Linked DNA regions of Pelodiscus sinensis. The protein of the gene in region 1 purifies or fractionates together with the protein of each later gene. This does not show direct contact. Links are inferred from orthologs where the notes say so. Each region holds a gene or a part of one and is shown on either strand. Other genes may lie near its edges.

Evidence for each region. The genes of interacting proteins can lie anywhere in the genome.
Region 2: the proteins of CSNK2A2 (region 1) and NIFK purify together in Homo sapiens (affinity purification with mass spectrometry; 3 studies listed by BioGRID and IntAct, with this or other methods). This does not show direct contact. The link is inferred for Pelodiscus sinensis from reciprocal best matches to the Homo sapiens genes CSNK2A2 and NIFK.
Region 3: the proteins of CSNK2A2 (region 1) and WDR5 purify together in Homo sapiens (affinity purification with mass spectrometry; 3 studies listed by BioGRID and IntAct, with this or other methods). This does not show direct contact. The link is inferred for Pelodiscus sinensis from reciprocal best matches to the Homo sapiens genes CSNK2A2 and WDR5.

Annotation. Positions count from the first base shown.
Region 1 is NC_134722.1:46,154,681-46,161,535, forward strand, and holds the start of CSNK2A2 (casein kinase II subunit alpha'), read right to left. Parts: upstream 3,009-6,855; 5' UTR 2,902-3,008; coding exon 2,798-2,901; intron 2,127-2,797; coding exon 2,015-2,126; intron 1-2,014.
Region 2 is NC_134717.1:8,136,314-8,144,286, forward strand, and holds the start of NIFK (MKI67 FHA domain-interacting nucleolar phosphoprotein), read right to left. Parts: upstream 3,002-7,973; 5' UTR 2,950-3,001; coding exon 2,839-2,949; intron 1,685-2,838; coding exon 1,556-1,684; intron 166-1,555; coding exon 57-165; intron 1-56. Other genes in the region: TSN (translin), read left to right, coding at 5,961-6,026, 6,199-6,292.
Region 3 is NC_134732.1:17,957,559-17,965,255, forward strand, and holds the start of WDR5 (WD repeat-containing protein 5), read left to right. Parts: upstream 1-4,696; 5' UTR 4,697-4,822; intron 4,823-7,697.

The DNA.
Region 1 (6,855 bases):
GACACCTGAGGTTCACCAAAGCCCTACGGCGGATTTCCTAGACTAGTGGTAAACAGAAGTGGATGGTTTCCTGTGCTTAGCCAAGAGCCAGCTCTCCATATAATAGTTACGCTCTTGGCTACCTGCTGACAGTCTCTCTTTAATGCTGAGTCTTCGGCTCCCAGAGTGCAAGACAAACAAGTGCTTAGGTCCCGGCAGCAGCGTTCAAAAGGAGACATGGGCCTACACAGTAAGCCAACAAACCATGCAAGCCTCCCTTCTACCTGGGAATACCTAAGGATGTTAAATATCGGGTAACTGACTCATCGAGTAGTCAATGCATTTTTGCATCGCTAGTCAAACAGGGTGCCTCCGCCTTCAAAGGCCAAAGCCCGGGGTCAGCTGGGAACACCCCAGCAGCAGTGCCACACGGAGCCCAGGTCAGTGAAGGAGTCCCCAGCTGATCCAGGTCCACGCTGCGCTGCCGCTTTGAATGCCGCAGGGAGCCCGGCATCAGGCTCCTCACGGCATTTCAAAGCGGCAGTGCCACCCGGGGTCACATCACTAGTCCTTCACATCCCTAGCCCAACCAGCCATCTCTTTGGGGTGAGGATTTTACCGAAGATGCACATCACTTTGCCACCTTCATTCCGAAGCCCAGGTAAGATGCTGATATTCCTAACTCTTCTCAGAAGCAATTGAGAAGTCACGCCCTGCCCAGTGACTACTGCTCAGCAAAACGAGATCCATGGCAGAACAAGCCACCTGGGGAGATGGGGCACAGCAATCAGAGGCCCAGGATGAACAGACAACCTGGTCCCGAAGGAGAAAGGCAAGGAGAAGCGCCAATGCTAGCTGGCCAGCCATGCAATCAGAGCACCCTGGTCCACGAAGGGGGATTTTGTCAGACCGAGTAGCCAATTCGCAGTCTGACAGATGCATGCTGCCCTGCTGAAAAGGGCCAGGCATGCGTACATGGCAGCTAGCAACTCGCCACGGCAGCTGACGGGTTATTTCCTAAGTACACCCTCTCTCAACTGTAGCTGTGAGGATTGATGCATGTCCATGTTCTGAGCATTTGTAGGGTTGGAAGCAGGCTTCTGTAGTATAGGGGGAAAAGCAAGATGACGATGGTGGACAAGAACCACAGCTGCCAGCCAACAGAATGCTTTGGCTTTGTGACCATTCAACAACCCTTTCTTTCTCGCCCCTTCCTCAATCAGCTGAACAGTCTGCGACTAAACACCAGAGTTCTCACTCCTGTCACAGGCTGAGTGTGCTGCTTCCAGTGCTCCCAGGCAGCAGTGATAACAAGAAACTGTGCAGGACAGAGCACTTGGCTGACCCAAAGCATTCGGATTTTAATAGCTTCCTTTGTACTTGGGTCCTTAATGTGCCACTCTCATGAGGTTGCGATCAGAACACACCAACTAGTGAGCAATGGAAAACAAGCCACCTCCTTTACCTTGATTTTCAATCATGGCTATGACTCATTTTAAATACTGAGGAATTTGCCTTCCATTGTACTTTCTTACGTACCAAGGCCAAGATTTAGTTTGCTTTCCCAAAAACTTACCAGCCTGGCTCTGACACAGTTACAGCCAATCATGTAAAGGTTAATGGAAGGATTCCCCCGCACGGGTTCATATTACTGTTGACAGGACAGTTTGCAAGCCATTGGAGACAAACATTGCCAGATATTATGTACTAAGTGCAGACAGCACATCCAGACCATTCAGATATCAAGACACATGGCTTTCCTGTCCCAAAGCACGCTCAGTCTCAATCCGACAAGCACCCCTTGACCCAGGACTTGAAGAGAGAAAGGACCAGCACAGCATCACTACAGGACACGAGCCAAAAATGTATTTCCGGAGATGTAATCCAGCACCCCAACATCAGAGAGGGCAGGGCTGAAACCCAGTTTAGGAGACACTGAACGAGACCTAAAATTGCCCCATCCCCCTCAACAAACCTAGTAAAATGCCCCTTTCCCATCATGAAGAGGGCTACTGATCGTCAACTGGACGCTCACCTTGAGGATTTTCACCACCACTCTCTCGTTGTTGGTAATGTTTATGGCCTCAAAGACTTCACTGTATTTTCCCCGGCCGAGCTTCCGAACCAGTTGGTAATCGTCCTGATTACTGTGGACAGGGAAAAGGAAAATAACTGACAGGCTGGAATTCTCTCTCCTCCCTGCCCGCCCAGCCCTTTGCATCCAAAGCCCGTGGAGACAGCGCTGTGCATTACAGGATCTGCTTTCCGCGGAGGGGGCAGGCTCCACAGGGCTACCCTGTGCAAACCCATCCCCAAACCAGTCCCTGTCTCTTGGCTGGGGAAAGCCTTCGATCAAGCAGCGCAGGGTGCAGCCCTGCAGAGGGGAGGAGAGGGGGCACCGTGACCCGCAGCGAGCCTGCTCCCTCTTCAGGCTTTCACGGCCATCTCAGAGAGGCGCAGAGACAGGGGCAGCTGGGAGGTCCCCACCCAGGGCAAGGCTGTTTGCGGGGGGGGGGGGGGGGGGGGGCTTCCCGGGCAGCTCGGCAGGGCCACGAGGCGGCAGCACCAGCATGGCCGTGGGGCCCACTCCCTGCCAGAGCATCCCCCGCCCGAAGAGCGGGTCGGGGGGAACCCCCGCCACCTGCCCCTCCCCCCCGGTGTCTGGCCGGGGGGGCTGCCCCTCCCCCCAGCTCTGGGGCACCGGGCAGCAGCGGGGTGTCGCCGGGCAGGATTTGGGGGGGTGCGCCGGGGGGGTCTCCCCGCCCCCTCACTCACCATCCCCCCCCCGCCCCTCCCCCCGGTGGCGCGGCCGCTTTACCCCCAGCTCGGGACGTGCGCCTCGTAGTCCCAGTACTCGCGGCTCCTCAGGCTGTTCACCTCGGCGTACACCCGGGCCCTGCTGCCGGCGGCCGGGCCGGGCATGGCGGGGGCGGGCGGCGGCCGGAGGCGGCGGCGCAGGGGGCTGGCGAGGCGGGGCGCGGAGCGCAGGAGGGCGGCGGCGGGGGGCAGCAGAGCCAGGCCGGCCGGGGGCGGGGCGGGGGGGCCGGTCCCGGCCCGGCGGGGGCGGGGCGGGGGGCCGGGCTGCGGGGCCCGCGCGGTCTCTGCCCGAGGCCCGATCCCCGGCGGCGGCAGCCTGAGCCGGCCCCGAGCGCAGCGCAGCGAACCCGGAAAAGGGGCCGGTCCGGCGGCCGCGGCCCAGCCAGCAAGAGCGCAGCGCCCGCGGGGAGACCGGCTGGGCGGGCGGGGCACAGCGCCCCCTGCGGCCGGGGGGACGCAGCGCAGCCCGAGCCCCGCTCCCGCCGGGCCCCGCCCCTAGAGCCCCGTAACCCCGCCCCTTCGCCCACAGCGCCCCGAGCCCCGCCCCTAGAGCCCCGTAACCCCGCCCCTTCGCCCACAGCGCCCCGAGCCCCGCCCCTAGAGCCCCGTAACCCCGCCCCTTCGCCCACAGCGCCCCGAGCCCCGCCCCTAGAGCCCCGTAACCCCGCCCCTTCGCCCACAGCGCCCCGAGCCCCGCCCCTAGAGCCCCGTAACCCCGCCCCTTCGCCCACAGCGCCCCGAGCCCCGCCCCTAGAGCCCCGTAACCCCGCCCCTTCGCCCACAGCACCCCCCGAGCCCCGCCCCTAGAGCCCCGTAACCCCGCCCCTTCGCCCACAGCACCCCCCGAGCCCCGCCCCTAGAGCCCCGTAACCCCGCCCCTTTGCCCACAGCGCCCCGAGCCCCGCCCCTAGAGCCCCGTAACCCCGCCCCTTCGCCCACAGCGCCCCGAGCCCCGCCCCTAGAGCCCCATAACCCCGCCCCTTCGCCCACAGTGCCCTGAGCCCCGCCCCTAGAGCCCCGTAACCCCGCCCCTTCGCCCACAGCGCCCCGAGCCCCGCCCCTAGAGCCCCGTAACCCCGCCCCTTCGCCCACAGCGCCCCGAGCCCCGCCCCTAAATCCCCGTAACCCCGCCCCTTCGCCCACAGCACCCCACGAGCCCCGCCCCAGAGCCCCGTAACCCCGCCCTTCCCCCCCCCGTCCCTAGAGCCCTATAACTCCACCCCTTCCCCCATGTACCCCCCCGGGCTCCATTATCCCACCCCTTCCACCACTGAACCCCCGTGACCTCGCACCTTCCCCCACAGATCTGCCCCCAGCCCTGTAATCCTGCTTCTTCTCCCACGCACCCCCCAGCCCTGTACATCCGCCCCTTCTGCCACCGCACCCCCATAACTCTACGCCTTCCCCTATCACCCCCCCAAAACCACACGCCTTCCCCACCGCCCCCTCGAGCTTCATAACCCCACCCCTTCCCCACCACAGCCCTGAGCCCAGTGACCCCATAACCTCCCCAGCCCAAGCCCCATAACCCCTGCAGTCCCCCAGCCCAAGCCCCGTTACTCCATGACCACCCTAGTCTGAGCCCCATAATCCCATCCATTCCCCCACTGCACCCCCAAGCACCATTACTCCCATGATCCCTCCAGACCGAGCCCCTTAATCTCCGTGATCCCCCCAGACCGAGCCCTGTTACTTTCGTGATCTCCCCACCACACTCCTTGAGCCCTGTTACTCTCGTGACCCCCACACACCCATCGAGCCCCATAACCCCACTCCTTTCTCCCCAGGGCCCCAAGCCATCCAGGAACCCCATAATCCCACCTTCCTCCCCAGGGCCTCCAGCCAACCTTCCAGCCCAGCCCCTGTTACCTCCATGACTCCACCCCCACCCACCTCTAGAACCCCATAACCCCACTCCTTTATACCCACCTACCCTTAAAATCTACAACCCCACCCCTGGGGTCCTTAGATCCCCAGGATCCTCAGTCGCTCCACCTGTCCCTAAAACCCTATAATCCCCATGACCCCAACCTCCCCCTACTCCTAGAGACCTCTAACCCCAGCCCTATTGCCCCCATAATCCGCATGACCCCCTCAATCCCCATGAACCCCCAAATTCCCCATCTACACCTAGACCTCCATACCCTGCACAACTATAGCCCCATAATCCCCTTTGGCCCCCCAGCTTTCCCCTACCCCTAGAGACCTAAACCCTTCTTCAGGCCCACGTGGCAATAATCCTTCAATCTCCCCTTCTACCTCAAAACCCTAGAGCTCTCCCACACCCCTGTTACCCAACGACCCTTATAATCCACAAACGTCACTGCCCATAATTCGCCTAAGACCTACAGCCTCAGTCTTCACTGCTGGTTTTTAGTCACTACCCACCTCTTCCCCTAATCCCCCTAGTCTGTTGCCCCAGACCTGAGTCCTACTCAGCCTCCGTTTCATGCCAGCTCCAAAACCCGAAAATCCAACACATCTCTAGAACTCCCTGCAAGTCAAAGGTCCCAGAGCCAATGCCCTCTAATCTTTTCCATCCATGTGCGGAACAATTGTTATGTGCCCCGAAACATGTGTGAATGTGCACCACCTGTAGAAACTCAAAACCTAGCTCTGGACGCTCTGCTAGTCAGTTAGGTGGCATTTGGATCTGTTCTGAGTGGCCGCACGAGCACACGGCTGACAGGAAAAACTGCCCAGAGCTCTGCAACTCCCCATCCAACCACCAAAATCCATCTCAGTACTTAAGTACTCCTTCCCGGTTCTTCAGTCACCCCAAAGCCTTCATCACACACCCTCCATCACCTACTTGCCCATCTCCATCCAACTTGACTGGTGCTTCTACACCGCCCCACCACCATTTCAAGCTAAACACTCTGGCTACGTCTACATTGCAACGCTACTTTGGAATGCCGGAGTATCCCGAAATAGCTATCTCATATCGTAACAGCAAGCCCGTTATTTAGGGCTCACTATTCCGACGTCTCTGTAGACCTCATTCCATGAGGCGTAAGGGACATTTCGGAATAGCAGGTTATTTTGAAATCTGGCACCATGTAGACTGCGCCAAATGACCAAATAAGCTATTTCAAAATAAGATCCAAATAAAATACACAATGGCTACGTCTACACTGGCCCCTTTTCCGGAAGGGGCATGTAAATTTCACTAGTCGTCGTAGGGAAATCCGCGGGGGATTTAAATATCCCCCGCGGCATTTAAATAAAAATGTCCGCCGCTTTTTTCCGGCTTTTAAAAAAGCCGGAAAAGAGCGTCTAGACTGGCCCCGATCCTCCGGAAAAAGTGCCCTTTTCCGGAGGCTCTTATTCCTACTTCAAAGTAGGAATAAGACCCTCCGGAAAAGGGCACTTTTTCCGGAGGATCGGGGCCAGTCTAGACGCTCTTTTCCGGCTTTTTTAAAAGCCGGAAAAAAGCGGCGGACATTTTTATTTAAATGCCGCGGGGGATATTTAAATCCCCCGCGGATTTCCCTACGACGACTAGTGAAATTTACATGCCCCTTCCGGAAAAGGGGCCAGTGTAGACGTAGCCATAGTGTGTAAGCACAAAAGCGCACCCACACCTCAAAAGCACATCGTAAAAGCGATGCACTTTTGCACAAGAGAGTCCACACTGCATGGATGCTCTTGCGCAAGAAAGCTCTGATGGCCATTCACAGAATGGCCATCAGAGCACCTGTGCTTTTTCCTGTAGGCTTTTTTTGCGCAAACCCCCCTGCGGAGCATCCACACATGCTTTTTTGTGCAAGAGCTGTAGCGCAAAAAGGAGTTATTCCTTGTGGGGAGAGGAATAACTCTACCGGCAAAAGCCCTCTGTCCCGTCGATTTACTGGGGGGGTTTTGCACAAAAATGTCCTTGAGATGTGGACACTCTGCCGGTTTTTGCCGTTACGCCATTTCAACCAAGTGTACCTAAGGGTTGTCACTGGGAACCTGACTGGGCTCAAATTCAGTGAGGTAAACAGAACGGCAGCTGCCTAAAGGCTAGATTGTAACACCACCCTACCACGATCCATCCTGCTTCTTCTGGAGCAAAGG
Region 2 (7,973 bases), on another chromosome or scaffold:
AACAATACGTTCACATGTCCATATTTCCCTAGCTCACCAGTGTCCCATATACTCACACTTTAGGAGTCTTTCACAGAATAGGTAGTTGTTCATGGTATCTGCTACAATCTTAGCGACTTCATCTGATTCAAACTCTACAAATCCATAGCCTTTGCTGTTTCCAGTCTGCGAATGACAATGGTATCAGAAATCTAGATTATGTTTACACATAATGTCTAAGAATTACACTAGATTGTTTTTTCAGGCTGCAAGGGTCATATTCTGTTCTCAGATTATAATATACAATTCACAGTAAACTAGGTAAGCATTACACATGTATGTCTTAGGGCAGACTTAGTCTGTGACACACAAAATGCACTGTCCCTCCTGTTATATTCATTCAGAATTCTACACTGGATTTAGACTACTCTGATAAAATTTCTCATTTATGTATGTTTAGTTCTGATGAAAGGGACTAGATTAAGAGTAGTAGAGTGGGGCCTCTGTTTATCTACAGAAGTAGGGGAAATTTCCTCACAGCACCTATTTGTCTCAATCCTTTTCTGGAATAAGCACCTTTTGCCATAGCATAAAATGGCCAGTTATTTTTCCCTCTTTTGATACTGTCAACAGGGATTCCACCCTAAGTGATATTTCTACACTACAAAATGGACAAAACTAATAACTTGTTACTTATAAGTCAATTATGGACTTCAAAAAACAGTTATCTTAACTACCAGATCTGGATTCAAACCAGTAACTGAAAGGTTTTAAAGACTACGACCAAAGTTTTATCAGCCTCTAGAACAAGACATTTATTATAAACATCCAAGTAAAAGTCTGCTTCTCAGATGGTAAAGTTTGTGAAACCAATTAATGGCTTTAGGATTTGGAATTGGGGTGAGGATCCTGAATTCCTGTAGAGCAAACAATTGTGTGTGTTCTGAGAGTCTATCATCATTTCCAGAATAGATGATTGGAACACAAGAGCAGGACTCTTTCAGGCTCTCTCTTACCCTGGTATAAATTGCAGCTGATCTTTAAAGACCAGGTTTTGGATGGACTGAAGGCAAAGAAGGCCAGAGAGAAGGTTGCAGCAATCAGTATTGGAGAAAGAGACACAGAAAAGTGTTTTAGCCTTTGAGATAGCAAATAATTGGATTTTAGAAATGTTGTGCAAGTTGCAGAACTTGGTAACACCCTAGCAATGTGGGGAGGAGTGAGATTAAGGACTGAGAGGGTGTCCCAATGATTAATCCAAGGGTCAGAGACTCAAAAATTATGACGACGGTGGTGTTATCCATACCAATAGAGAGACAAAAAGAATTTAGGAGAAAACATAGTTCAGTTTGACCACTATTTCCTACATCTCAATGTGGAATAACAGGCCCGTGAACTAAGTTTAGGGAAAGTGTAATAAAAAAATAAAACTGAGACCACCAGTATACCAATAACCTCTGGCCAATAGTTACTTCTAATTGGGAAAGTAAGTAAATAGGAGAATAGGGGAGGAGGCAAAAGTCAGCAATAACTGCAATTAGGAAGCCAGACAATTCCAATCAGTTAAGATTCTTACCTTTTTACTTCTTGAAATTCGAAGTCTGGTGACTGTTCCAAACTGGCTGAAGTACTCCTGGAGTTGTGGCTCAAAAAGGCCCCTAGGGATGTGCCCTAAATAAATTACACCAGGAGTCAGCTTCTCATGCTGTGAATATGAAAAGAATGGGTAACATTAAAAAAACAGGAATATTCACGCGCATTTACCACCTTAAACACAAAGAGCCAAAAGACCACCAATTTGGAATCAGTACAGTAACTTCTAGTTCAAGGGTGGACAAATTACAGCCTGTGGGCTGCATCTGATCCACCAAGCCACTGGAACCTGCCTGCAGTCCAGTAGGAGCCACGGGAAGGCTCCCTGCCTGCCCCACCTCTACATGCCACTCAAAGCAGCTGGTCGCAGGGGGCATGTGCTTCTGAGTGCCAGGAGCTGGGAGAGGGGTGGTGAAGGGGAACAGGCTTTGCATGCTGCTTCTGCCCACAGCACAATCTCACAGCTCCTATTGGCTATAAACCACCCAATGGGAAGTGCATAAGCCATGTCCACAGTGCAGGCAGCATGTTAAATATCCCCCCTCCCCATGGCTGTCAGAGAAGCACATGGCCCCCCATGACCAGCAACTTCGAGCGGCATATAAGGGAGTAGAAGGCAGGGAGCCTGCCTGAGGGACTTGCTGTGCTTAGGTAAGCACTTCCTGGCCAGAGCCTGCATGTGGCACCCCAACCCAATGCTCCCCTTTCCGCGCCCATGCCCCAGGTTATAACTCAAACCCCCTGCACACCCATTCCTACACCCATGAAAAAGTTAACTGGTTAAACAATATGTTTAACCAGTTAACCATGGAGTCCTGGGGTCCTGCAGGCAGGGAGGCTTGCTTCAGTGAGCCCTGCTGTGCTCAGGAAGGGGAGGACTTGCTCCAGGCAGGCCCGGCCCTACAGTTATCAGGGAAGCATGCTGGGAAGGCTAATGTTTCCCTGGTAACCAGTTAACCTTTTATATCCCTATGGCAGACGCTGCAACCCGACCCCCTTCCCCAGATGCCAATCCAAAGCCCCGCACTCCTGCCCCGTGTCACAGCCTTGTCCCGGACCCAGCACCCCCCGCTCCCCTCCCCTCCCGGTCGGAGTCCTCTCCAAGACCCCCTGGCGCGCGCCAAGCCCTTCCTCCGAGCTGGGAGCGGCCCCCCCCCGGGGCGCGAGTCTCTCAGTCCCACCACGAGCCCATCGGGGCCCGCGCGTGTTGGGGGCGCTCCGCGGCCGGCAGCCCCGCCCCCCCGCAGGCGGGACCCGGGCTCTCACCTTGGCGGCCCGGCCGGCGCGGACGCGCAGCACCTTGTCCTGGAACTCGCGCTGCTGCTGCGGGTCCAGAGAGAGGAGCGGGAGCGCGGCCGAGGACCCCGCTGCCGCCATGCCGCGCGCTCACCCTACCCCCACGCCGGGAGCGCGGTCCCGTCACTTCCGCTTCCGGGTCCCTGCCACGGGAAGTGTCTTCTCCCCCCAGCCAGCTTCCGCCCGCTCAGCGGCCAGGCCCAGACGTAGGGCCACAGCGACCTCTGGCGGACAGAGCTTGCCTGCTGGGACAGCTGCCACTGCCGCTCCCCCCCCCCCCCCCCGCCACAGGCCAGACAGCCGGGTCCCCCTCCCCGGGGGCCTGGTTTCGGTGCGGTCCGAGAGGAAGTGCGGGACCCGGGGCATGAATGGAGCTGGGCAGGAGCCAGGCAAGCCCCTGGGAGGGCTGTTCCCTGGAGAGCCAGGGTGCCAGGGAACTAGTGTCTGCAAAGGAGGCCCCAGAGCAGGACAAGAGAAGCCCCCAGAGACCAGCACCTCAAGCCAGTTTGGTGCCTGCTCCCAGGAGAATGCTGCCCCCTCAAATGAACAATCCTGGGCACGTTTTAAAATTGTGCAGATTTGGTCACAATAACATGCTATAATACTCCAGTTTACATTATTTTGTTCAAAATACCTACGAACAAGTATGTCACATTAGAGGCAGCAACAAACTTTCCTCCAAGAGCAGAGAGTGAAACTCTGGGTGACAACCCACTTCCAATTGGGGGGAGGCTGGAGGTGGCTGTGTTCTTCCCTCTCCTGGTCAAGGTACCTGCTTCTCCTCCCCCAGCTCTAGTGAACCTCCCTTCAGAGCCTTTATTCCCACGGCTCTACAGTCCTGCTAAGGGATGCAATGAAGCCCTCTATCCCCAGGCCTATCCCATTGTATGGGGAGATTTTGAAAGACCAGTAAAAGGTCAGAGACTGCTACCAATAGTATAATATCATACTTGTTGCTAACAGCAACCAAACTTGGGTTTTTTTTTGTTTGTTTGTTTTGCAGGGCTGTGCAGACTTAGCAAGATTTAAGCCAGGAGGACTAAACATCTTGCTCAGCATACCTTTGCCTGATTCTGTGTCTCTTCTTGATGAAGTGTCAGTTGAACATGATGGGGTCTATATTTTAGGAGACAAATAAGAAGCTTATCTATTTCCCTTCTGAGATGTGACTGTCAGCATCTCAGGGCATGCAAACCCTGCAGGAATACCTCTGGCTAATTAGTAATTTCAGGAAACCTCTTGCTTAGCTTTTGAAACTGCTTGCTTAACAAGTTTTTAAATTGATAGTAATTTGTTTACTCACAAAGTGAAATAAAGAGGGAGAGGTTTGGTCTCTTTGGGATCAATTCATGGACTCAGTTTAGAGCCCTCAAGGACAGCTTAAAGATGGACTAGTTGGATGGCTGCAACTGTACCACACCAAATTTCAATAATTACTGAGGCTATTTTGCTAACTTGTTGCAGATGTCTAAAATGCTTGAGATTAAATGAAGTATAGCTTTTACTTAGAGCATGTTTGTATAATACTGTTTGTGCCAGCCCTTTATTGGACTGGTGGCTGGGTCTCCACTGATTTATATTTTTTTACACCAACTCACACAAAGTAAAGTTACCAAGAGCTTTGAGAACTCTGTCTGGGGTAACACCATCCCTGGGTGGATGAGGATCAAGCTGGGTAGCCAGAGTGCAGAGCCTCCCTCCTCACCGGATGAAAGGTGGAGAGCTGGGCTCTAGAGTCCAGGGACCTGCAGTGGCAGCCAGCAGCTCTGCAGTATTCCCCCAGGAGTAAAATATGTCTTAAGATCTGGGTCATACCCATATAGACTTAAATGGGGACAGAAGGAGGCCCATAACCAAATTTCTTCAATAAAACTTTTCTTTGCCTGATGCCTACAAAACTACGGACAACTGTCAGATGCTGATGTGCTAATCATGCTGACCAGTTTCATCCAATTTACTTATAGTCCACCTTCTGTCTCATCCATGAGTTGCCTGGCTTGTTCTTAAGGGCCTTCGGCATAAACTGTGGTTTGTACCGCACCTAGTACATGTGGGTAGTCCATGCCTAGAACTCTTCAGCACTATAGTAACATAAATCATAATTTGTTCTGTAAAAAAATGATGTGGGTTGTGGCATATACGAGTAGGTCCTATGCTGCTCCCCGACTTCTGCGCACATTGGAGAGAGTACCCAGAAGTTGCTGGCCTCCCAACCCTGAGTAGGGGGCAAAGAAGAAAGGTCCTATGATCTTTCTGCCCCTCCCCAGTCTAGCAGTGGGAGGTGAGGAGAAATCCACTGAAACTAGACTTGTCAGCCATCCCCGTGGCTTCTGTCTGCCCCACCCTCACACGGGGGAGGGGGAGGATTTCAGAAACACGCCCCTCCAAACAGAGTCTCTGAGCAGCTGTGTGTGGCATGGGGGGGAGAGACCCCACGGGCTGTGTGTGTGTGTCTCTCTCTCCCAGGAGCTGATGGGACCTCTGCGGGGGGGGGGGGGCAGACCCTGGGGGGGGGCGATGCCAGCCCACAGGCAGGTGTGGGGGAGGGGTTACTCGTCCCAAGCAGCCGTTCTGGCCCCGCTTTCCCGGGCATCGCCTGGAGTAGGGACTGCGCCTGCGCACAGTCAAGCGCGCCCCCCCCTCCCCCCCGCGGCCTGCGGCCAAGGTTTGTTTCCCGCGGCGTGCGCGCCAGGAAGTGAATGAGGCAGCTCTGCGCCGGGAGTGTAGAAGGACCCCTGCGCGGCGGCCCAGGCAGCGAGTAGGGCACCCTTGCGCTCGCACCGTGGAAGCCCCAGCTCCGAAGCAGGGGTCCCGGCCCGGCATGGGGAAGCCCGGCGGTGGGTGGCAGCGGCAGCGGCAGCGCTGAGTGCGGCAGGTTTCCGAGGTGATGTCGCGGGAACAGGCACGAGGTGGGGGCTACCGTGCGCCGGGCAGGTGGAAGGGCCCCGGAGCCGCCTCAGCGTGCGCGCGCGCGGCCATAGAGCTTGCGCCGAGAGCGTTGGAAGGTCCCCGAGCGGCGGTTGGGAAGCGGCGTCGCGAGCGGCCCAGCCCCTGGGCGGCGGCGCCCCGCGTGCCCGGCCCGGCAGCGCACCATGTCGGTCAGTGAGATGTTCATCACCCTGCAGGGGGTCCTCACCGCCGACCAGGACATCCGAGAGGTCAGGGCCCGGCGCGGGCGGGGCGGGGCCGGTGGGGCTTGGGGGGCTCCGAGGCACGCGGGGGGCGGGGCGGGGCCGGTGGGGCTTGGGGGGCTCCGAGGCACGCGCGGGAGGGGGGGGCGGGGGGAGTCCCTTCCCCCCCCTCGTGTCCTGACGTGTTGTCGGCTTGCAGGAGATCAGGAAGGTGGTTCAGACCCTGGAGCAGACGGCGCGGGAGATCTTGACGCTGCTGCAGGGGGTGCACCAGGGAGCTGGATTTCAGGACAGTAAGTGGCTCGTGTCTGGGGGCGTGAACGGATCGGGCGCTGTCGTCACAGCCGCAAGGCGGCATCCGCCCCAAGTGCTCACCCCCTAAGGCTGCAAAGGGGCAGGGACGCTGTCAGACCCCCATACAAGGTTGTGTGAAGCACATCCCCTCTCCTTGACCATGCTCTCCACCTGGCCACTGTAACCTGAGGAATTTTTTTCCATAAGACTTTTCACGTCTTTTCTCTACTATATAAGAGAGTGAGTCTGTGTGTCAGTCTGTTTATTCAAGAACTGGTTGTGACTACTTTCTTCCACTATTTGATCTGAGGAAGTGGGTCTGGCCCACGAAAGCTCATCAGCTAATAAACCATCTTGTTAGTCTTTAAAGTGCTACATTGTCCTGCATTTTGCTTCAGCTACCCCAGACTAACACGGCTACATTTCTATCACTTTCCTCCTGCACAGTGAGAGCTAGGATCGCCAAATTCAGTTAATAGCTAACTTAAACCAGGGTAAGTTCTTTTTTTTTTTTTTTTTTCCCCCATTGTGTCAGGAAAATGGAATGTGCCCGAAATGGGATTGCGTCTCATAAAACTGTACAGAAAAAAGAAACACACCAGGCAGGTGAAATGGGCTGGCTGGGGGCATTCCACCTCTCTACTCCTTTTTTCCCCCAGCATCCTTAAAGGAGGGTAGGGGACTGAAGATCCCCACCCGGAACATTGCTGGCTGTTCCCTTTGTCAGGGAACAAGGAGAAAGTGCATAGTTTTCTGCATTCTTCACTCTCCATCAAAGGCAGCAACGTGGGGCACAAGTAGCCCATCTATGTGGGGAGCTGGTTTTAAACTGGTTCCCCTTGTGGACTGGCATCTGCCTGGCACCCTGTGTTGCTGCTTCTGATGGAGAGTGAGAGTGAGGAATGCAGCAACTGCACTTTCCCCTTGCTCCCTAACAAAGGGAATAACCAGCAATGTGTCTGTGTGAATCAGGTGAGTGGGGGGACCTTGGAGTGGGGTTTGAGCGCACTGGCTGCTGGCCTCACCCCTATAAAATAGTTGAGTAACCAATAGGAATTAATGCAGTTACTTATTCAGTTAACTGATACCTAACATCTCTAATATGACATTTGCAAGCAGGTAGTGTCTAGCCATCCAGCAAGTCTGTTGATATTAAATCCAGGAACAGTAAAACAATTGGCTAATCTTTTCAACCTTTACTGGCTTTCTGATGTTGAATAAAGCACAAGAATTGCAACGGCTGTGCTGTATAAATATAATCCATTTTGGTTTTCAGCCTTTATTGATGGAAGGATTACCTCAGCATTCTTTCACTTTTTAACTCACGTGAAGAGGTAGGGACAGCGGGACTCACACCCGCAGAATGTATCTGCAAACTTCGCAGAGAACAGTGTCTCTTCCTTGTAGTATGTAAGACAGCTCTATGTTAAACAACTTTGCTGTCATATGCATAAGTTTCGTGGGTTAGGAGTTGTACCAATTATGACAGGGCTGTTCACTTGACATTACTCCTGGGCAAAATAATGAACAGCTATATGGAACTCAGTTAATAAAGAAAGACGTGTAATAATGCCAATCAGCATGGCTACGTCTACACTGGCCCCTTCTTCGGAAGGGGCGTGCTAATTTTGAACTTGGGAATAGGGAAATCCGTGGGGGATTTAAATATCTCCCGCGGGA
Region 3 (7,697 bases), on another chromosome or scaffold:
CTCCTTGGAACCTCCCTTCAGGAAGTTGAAGGCTGCTATCAAATCCCCCCTCACTCTTCTCTTCTGCAGACTAAACAAACCCAAATCCCTCAGTCTCTCCTCATAGGTCATGCACTCCAGCCCCTAATCATTTTGGTCACCTTCTGCTGGACCCTCTCCAATGCGTCCACATCCTTTCTATAGTGGGGGGCCCAGAACTGGACACAATATTCCAGATGTGGCCTCACCAGAGCCGAAAAAAGGAAAACAATCACTTCTGAGGCTGGGAAGACTGGGGCCATGGCCCTCTACCCCCCCGCCCCGGTGCTCTAGGGCTGGGGGAGGCTGAGGGCACACACCCTCTTTCTTGCTGGGACGTGGGGCCTGAGCAGAAGGGGTGGACCTGGGGGTGGGTCTGCGGGCTTGCCTCCACCAACTCTACCTTCACCCACGGCCTCTGTGTGTTTCATACCAGCTTCCATCATCTCCAAAGGTAAGGGTCTAGTTTCATGCACCTAAACAACCCCATTAAAGCCTTTGATACTTAAAACTGGGTATGTGCTTAACTGGAGCCTATTATGATTAAAAATCATTTTGCTTTATTTAAAAAGGTAAATTAAAACACTTTACCTAGCCTTAAGGGCAGGGAACATGCAGTGTTGTTGTGATGCTTAGTTACTGTTTGTTAAGCACTTTGAGATCTTTAGGCACTAGCAAAACAGTAATACAAATAAGAGAACTTTGGAAGTGGTAGGAGAAATCTCCAGCATGACAGAGTCATGAGAAATGGGGCACAGTACATGTACATTTTAATCTTCAACAAGAAAAGCAAATTACACTGTTCTGACCAAAGAATAATTAAGTATCAGCTTTTAAAACGGTGAATCCAGTCTATTTAAACAAACCAACCACCCTTAGGTTACAAAACAGAAAAGAACTTAACTGGCTGGGTCTCTTAATGCTGGGTTGTGCCGCTTTTCCAGCTCCGTTTATTATCTTCTACTTTGCCCCCTTATCCATATTTGCATTATAAGGTTTAATTCTTTAAATTCCTGCTCCAGATTTCCAAAGCAGGCAGTAAATTTTTCCTTGAATCCCCTCTCCACCAGACATTTTCCATTCCCCAACTGCCATTAGAATTTTTGGATCTCAAAGCTCTTTGTTAAAGGACCGGCATGTACACACTTTTCTTGGGTTTTTTTTTCCTCCATTAAACAAAAGCCGCTTGTCGCAATTTCTGTGTAGCCTTTGGCCTCGGTTCAGGAAAGCACTGATTTTTCCAGAAAGCAGCGGCGTAACTTTAAGCATGTTTTGAAGCGCTTTCCTAAATGTGGTCCTTTGAATGGATATTCTGAAACCTTGTCAAATTTTATGGAGCGTGCAAGGCACAGAACCGGGACAGATCTTATTTGATTAATCCAGCCCTTCCGTGTTGGAACCTTTTCATTGGCTCTCCTCTGCAAGATCAGAACAGAAGTTTTTATTATGCTTCCAGCAGCATCCCTTGGGTGCATATTGCTGCTTGTTTCAGAGCTTCTTTGAGGTGTTTTGCACAACCTAATCAAAGGGCAAAGCTCTCTTCTTAAAAAATTGGTATAGCTGCAGTTATTATTCACACTTATAGACAACTGAGATCCACTGCAGCAGCAAAGCAAGTATATCAAGCGGACACACAGACATCAGTCATCACTGGGGATTGAATCAGATACTTCCAGCTCCAAAAGCATAGGTCTCTAATCCCTTGAGCTCAAGAAGAGATCACATACCTTAGGTAATTACTGGAGGGAGCTATGGCGAGATACATTAAGCCACTGTATTACACAATCACTAGCACTGAAGCAAAAGACAAAGGCTACATCTAGACTGCAGGCTTCTTTCGGAAGAAGCTTTTCTGGAAGAGATCTTCTGGTGTTTAACCACCCTGACAGTTAGGAAGTTTTTTCTAATGTCCAACCTAAACCTCCCTTGCTGCAGTTTGAGCCCATTGCTTCTTGTTCTATCCTCAGAGGCCAAGAAGAACAATTTTTCTCCCTCCTCCTTGTGACACCCTTTTAGATACCTCAAAACCACTATCATGTCCCCTCTCAGTCTTCTCTTTTCCAAACTAAACAAGCCCATGTTCTCTAGACCTTTAATCATTAGTCATGTTCTCTAGACCTTTAATCACTCTTGTTGCTCTTCTCTGGATCTTCTACAATTTCTCCACATCTTTCTTGAAATGTGGTGCACAGAACTGGACACAATACTCCAACTGGACACAATATTCCCTTACTTCTGGGCTGCTTGTCTGTGCTGAATGGCTAGAGAGCAGCACGCCTGCAGCCCAGAAGAAAGGCTGTAATTTAGGGGGGAGAGGTCCCATCAAAAAAAGTTTTACTCTTAATTTAGCAGATTCCCTTACCCAGAGTGACTGACAAACCTCACATTAGCAGAGTACTATCCTGTATCCTATATGAACACGGCCATGACATTTGCTATTTATGCCATGACCCACCCACAAAAAATGTGCGATTTCTCCATGATTTAAGTAGACCACTCACAATAACGTATAACAGCGATCTGCTAACCTCAGTGGTTCAGGAGGCAAATTAGCCATCCACATTACGTAAAAGAGCCTCAGTTGTGTAAATGTATATATTATCCTCACAGCCAAATGACTGATCGAGTATTTTACAATTGGTGAATAACACAGTAAAAGCATCCTGATTAGCTAATTATGTAGATTGGTTAAATAATTAAATCACACAGTGTTTTAATATCATGTGCTGCAAGGAGCTGCAGGAGACACATTAAAGAGCAACACACAGCTCCTCTCTGAGTAGCTCTGATGTGAGAGACCTTGAGTCTTAGATACCTGAGTGAGTTTCTGAAGGCTGAGTAGGTGCTAAACTTGCAGTGGTCCCCAACGTGGTGCCCGGGGGCACCATGGCGCCCGCCGGGCCATTTCTCTGCGCCTGCTGAGTGAATGAGGCTGGCCCCACACCTGGGCGCATGGCGCATGGCCGGTGCCGGCTCCCTGGGCGGTCAACATATGGGCAACGTCGGCCCCAGGCACGCAACACATGGGCGGCCCCAGGAGCTTTTGGGTGGCCCTGCCCCTGGGTGCGCGGTGCAACGGCTGTACTGGCCCCAGGTGCGCGGCATATGGGCGGTGCCGGCCCCGGGCACACGGCGTTTGGGTGGCCCCGCCCCTGGGCGTGCAGCGCATGGGCTGTTTCGGCCCTGGCGCACGGCGTATGGGCAGCCCCACCCCTAGGCGCCTGGCACAGGAGCAGCGCTGGCCCCCGGGAGTGCAGCGAATGGGTGGTGCCAGCACCGGGCGTGCGCCATATGGGTGGCCCCGCCCCCAAGCACGTGCACGGCCTCGCCCCCAGGTGTGTGAGTAGCCCCGCCCCCAGGCGCCCGGCAGCCCCAAAAGGTTGGGGACCAATGTTAAAGAGTAGGGGTGAAAGGAAGCGCTAGGACTTACTGGTATGCCGGAGTCCTTACTGGTATGCAAGAGGTGATGGGTGGGTTTGAAACCGCACAAGGGGCAGGGCTAGAGCCTAGAGGACCACACTCCTCAGCCAGTCTTTCATGACCACCACTTCATCCGGGACCCCCAGGCCTTTCTAAACACTGGTCTCCAAGGCAGCTGCACCTTTTGCTGCAGGTCACTCTGCCAGACCCGACCAACAGGGCTGCTGACCAATGTTCCCTCTAACTCCGCGTTTCTCAAACTGTGGGTCCCGACTCCCCCCGGGGGGTCGCGAGCAACTTAGAGGGGGGGCACAGTATCACAGAGTTTGAGAATCCCTGCTCTAACCTTTTCTATCCACGTGTGGAATAAAATTTGTATGTGCACGCGGGTGTTTGCAGAGTTGCACCACTGATAGAAACACAAAACCTAGCAGTGGGTGCAGCATTTGAATTGCTCCTGAGCGGCTGCATAAGCACACAGCTTACAGGGAGCGCTGCCGCTGACGGGGGGAGCAAAAGCGGCAGCAATGTTAAAGCACTGCTGAAGCAGCACATTAAAAACGGTCCTTCCCTTGCTGCCGTGATGGCACTTTAACATCCGCCGCATATGGGCTGGTGCCGGTGTCTGCTTCTTACAGGTATACAGCTGGCACCAGCCCAGTGTCACCTGGGTAAGACACAATGATGCTGGGACGGGCCCTATATTTTAAGAAATGGGGGTTTAAAGCAGTGCTGCAGTGGGGGGGGGCTGGGTTTCCTAATACGAGCCGTGTGTGTGGGGATTGCTTGCAGAACTGGGCCCCATATGTAGTGGGTGTGTGTATCACGGGGCCCCATAAGTAGCTGTGTGTGTGTGTGTGTGTGTGTGTGAGAGAGAATCCCCCCCCCACACACACACCAACACTCCCCCCCCCCCACTTCTGGCAGAGGGGCACTGTTCACCCAGGCTGTCCAGTGCACATGAGGACACTGGGTCAGGCTGGGAAGGGGGGGGGGGGGGCTTGAGGGCTCCAGCCTGGGGAGCTGCAGCTTGCTCCAGCCTCAGCGACTTCCAGGGAAATTGCAACACGTGGGCCGCAGGGCCGTGACCTCTGCAGCAGCCCTGGCCGCGTGCATCCCCTGGGAGCCCCCACCCGGAACAGGCCTCTGGCCCTTTAAGGCCTGTGCCAGTCCGCCTCCGACGGATTCTGTCCCTTCCGCCTCGCCGTAGCATCCCCGGGAGAGAGCGGCATTGTGCGGCTCCCTCCCCTTCCGCCGTGAGCGCATGCGCCGCCCCGCAATTCCCCCCTCCCCGCCTGGCAGCTACGGAGCTGCCGCTGCTTCACCTCCTCCCCGGCCCTGCTCCGCGCCGAGGAGGAGGCGGCGCCCCTCCCCCCCCTCCCAGGTAAGTGACTGAGCGGGGCCCCCTCCCCCCCCCCCGCGCCGGGCACGCGCCGCCCCGCGGCCCCGCCCCGAGCTCTGCCTCCGCCAGGGAACGGCCCGCGTGGGGCCGCCCCTCCCCCGGCTCCCGTGTAATGGGGGGGTGCGTGGGGCCGCCCCTCCCCCGGCTCCCGTGTAATGGGGGGGGGCGTGGGGCCGCCCCTCCCCCGGCTCCCGTGTAATGGGGGGGGGCGTGGGGCCGCCCCTCCCCCGGCTCCCGTGTAATGGGGGGGGGCGTGGGGCCGCCCCTCCCCCGGCTCCCGTGTAATGGGGGGGGGCGTGGGGCCGCCCCTCCCCCGGCTCCCGTGTAATGGGGGGGGGTGCGTGGGGCCGCCCCTCCCCCGGCTCCCGTGTAATGGGGGGGGTGCGTGGGGCCGCCCCTCCCCCGGCTCCCGTGTAATGGGGGGGGTGCGTGGGGCCGCCCCTCCCCCGGCTCCCGTGTAATGGGGGGGGTGCGTGGGGCCGCCCCTCCCCCGGCTCCCGTGTAATGGGGGGGGGTGCGTGGGGCCGCCCCTCCCCCGGCTCCCGTGTAATGGGGGGGGGTGCGTGGGGCCGCCCCTCCCCCGGCTCCCGTGTAATGGGGGGGGGTGCGTGGGGCCGCCCCTCCCCCGGCTCCCGTGTAATGGGGGGGGGTGCGTGGGGCCGCCCCTCCCCCGGCTCCCGTGTAATGGGGGGGGTGCGTGGGGCCGCCCCTCCCCCGGCTCCCGTGTCCTTTCTTAGCTCCAGGGCGGGGGGAGGGAGCAGGGAGGATGCATGTCCTTGCTCTTGGGTGCATGGATCTGTCCCTTCCCTAGCTTCCACGTGGAGGGAGGGGTGTGCACCATTCCTGCCCCAGGGTGCATGGACCGGCCTCCTCCCAGCTCCTGTTGGGGGAGAGCTGTGCAGCCCTGGTGATGTATGGAAAAGCCGCTTCCTTAGCACCGGGAGTGGGGGTGGTGGTGCAGGCACCAGCTTCGGGGTGCAGGGTGAATGGATCTGACCTCCTTCCCTAGCACCCATGGGGTACATGGACATGCCCTTCCTTGGTGCCCATGACTGGCGTGTATGAACCTGCCCCCAGACTGCATGGGTCTGACCCCTTCTTAGCTCCCACGCAGGGGGATATGTACCAGCCCTAGTCCTGGGATGCATGGTCTCGCTCCGCCCTCTCTTGTTCCTAGGCCTGGCTGGGGGCATGCACCAGTCTGTGGCCAGGGTGTATGGATTTATTGTCCTCTCTAGCTCCCGTAATCTGTATCTTGCTTTGCATGCGCAGACCTTTCCCTTATTTGGTTAATAAGCTGCATAGCCTGTCTTGGGGGCATGCACTGGTTCAGGGTGGCTTGTGTGGCCAATGTTACTTGCATGCATAGATTCTAGCCCTTACTATTTATTACATGGAGGGTGTGTCTCATCCTAAAGGCCCAGGCTACTGTATGAGATTGGGGATTGAACTGGCACAAGTGCAGAAGTCAAGCTTGTTCTCCCTCCAGCCAGATGCAGCTTTAAGCATTAATGATTTGAGCTTGGTGTAAAAGCCTCTTCATGAGTTCAATCTTAGCCATATTGGCATCAGCCAATTGCCATTCTGGAAACCTGGACTGAATATTACTGTTTCTGCTGTTTGATGCAGAAAGCTGCCTCTTGTTCCTATCATGCATAACACAAACAGAGCTAAACACTGAACAGCTGACGTAGAGTTTCCAAAGCTCTCTTCCAAAATTTCCTAGCAGTGGCTCATCTCCACTGAAGAGAGCTCTAGTGTGGGAAAGACAGGGGCTATACTGTGCTGCACAGTCCCCCAAAGAAGACATGGCACTTAAAATCCTACCAGGCACCTGTGTTGTCACTCCAAATACAGCTACTACTAGCAGAACAAAACTGGTGGTAGCAACACTAATAATTTTTGTCTTAAGACAAGGCCTTACTGTAAGTGGTGGAGGTATTGCCTATTGTCAGGCTGAAATCTAGCAGGGCTGCGGTAGAGGTTTTTTACTCTGCAGTGTAGCACTGATTGAAGAATATTGGCACAGCAGTTTCGGGTTTTGTTTCGAGAAGGTGAGTCTATTGAGACTGCTACAGGCTGGCTCTTAATCAGGTGAAATATCTTCCATGTGTAAGGCAGGAACAAGTATGATTTGCTGCTCTCAAATGCAGTTAAGGAAACAGCCCTTGGTTGAAATAGATGAATTGGGAGGGCAGAAGAAGGGAATAGGATTTTGAGTTCTGGGTGTACCTGTTGCATTTTTCGCATGATCGTGGGTTTTGTATCGCATCTGTCTTTCCATTTGAAAGACATCCAGGACTATTACTTGCCTCAGTTCCAAGAAATGAAACTCTTATAGCTACGCTTCTGAACTTTTTACGTTTAATGGCATTTCAGGGAGTGTGGTGAGAAATAAACTGCCCACACTCTCACCAGATCCTCTCAGCTGTAATATGAGATTAGGCCAGAACAGGGGTTCTTGAACTGGTGTACGCTGTAGACCACATTGTCTCAGAGCATCACATGGACCACCTCCCTTGCCACTGGTTAACAATCCTGTGTGGCAACTACAGCAATTGTTTACTGCTCTGGAGAGCAAGAGGTGCTTATAGCTGTTTAAATCTGATTTGGCATTGGAGACTGGACAACTAGCAAAAAGCTCTGTAGTCTATTTTTATAAAACGGGGAGTTCAGAGGAATGTTGCAGATGGCACAGAGTGATAGGCATAAAACTTTGTCAATTCCATATTTATTTAACTCCCACCAGCAGCATTCAGGTTTCTTGGATTTTAGCTAGAATTGGAAAGTGATTTTTTTCCCCCCACTGATTATATGGGGACCTGGATTATGATTAGGGTGCATTGTTACGTTAATT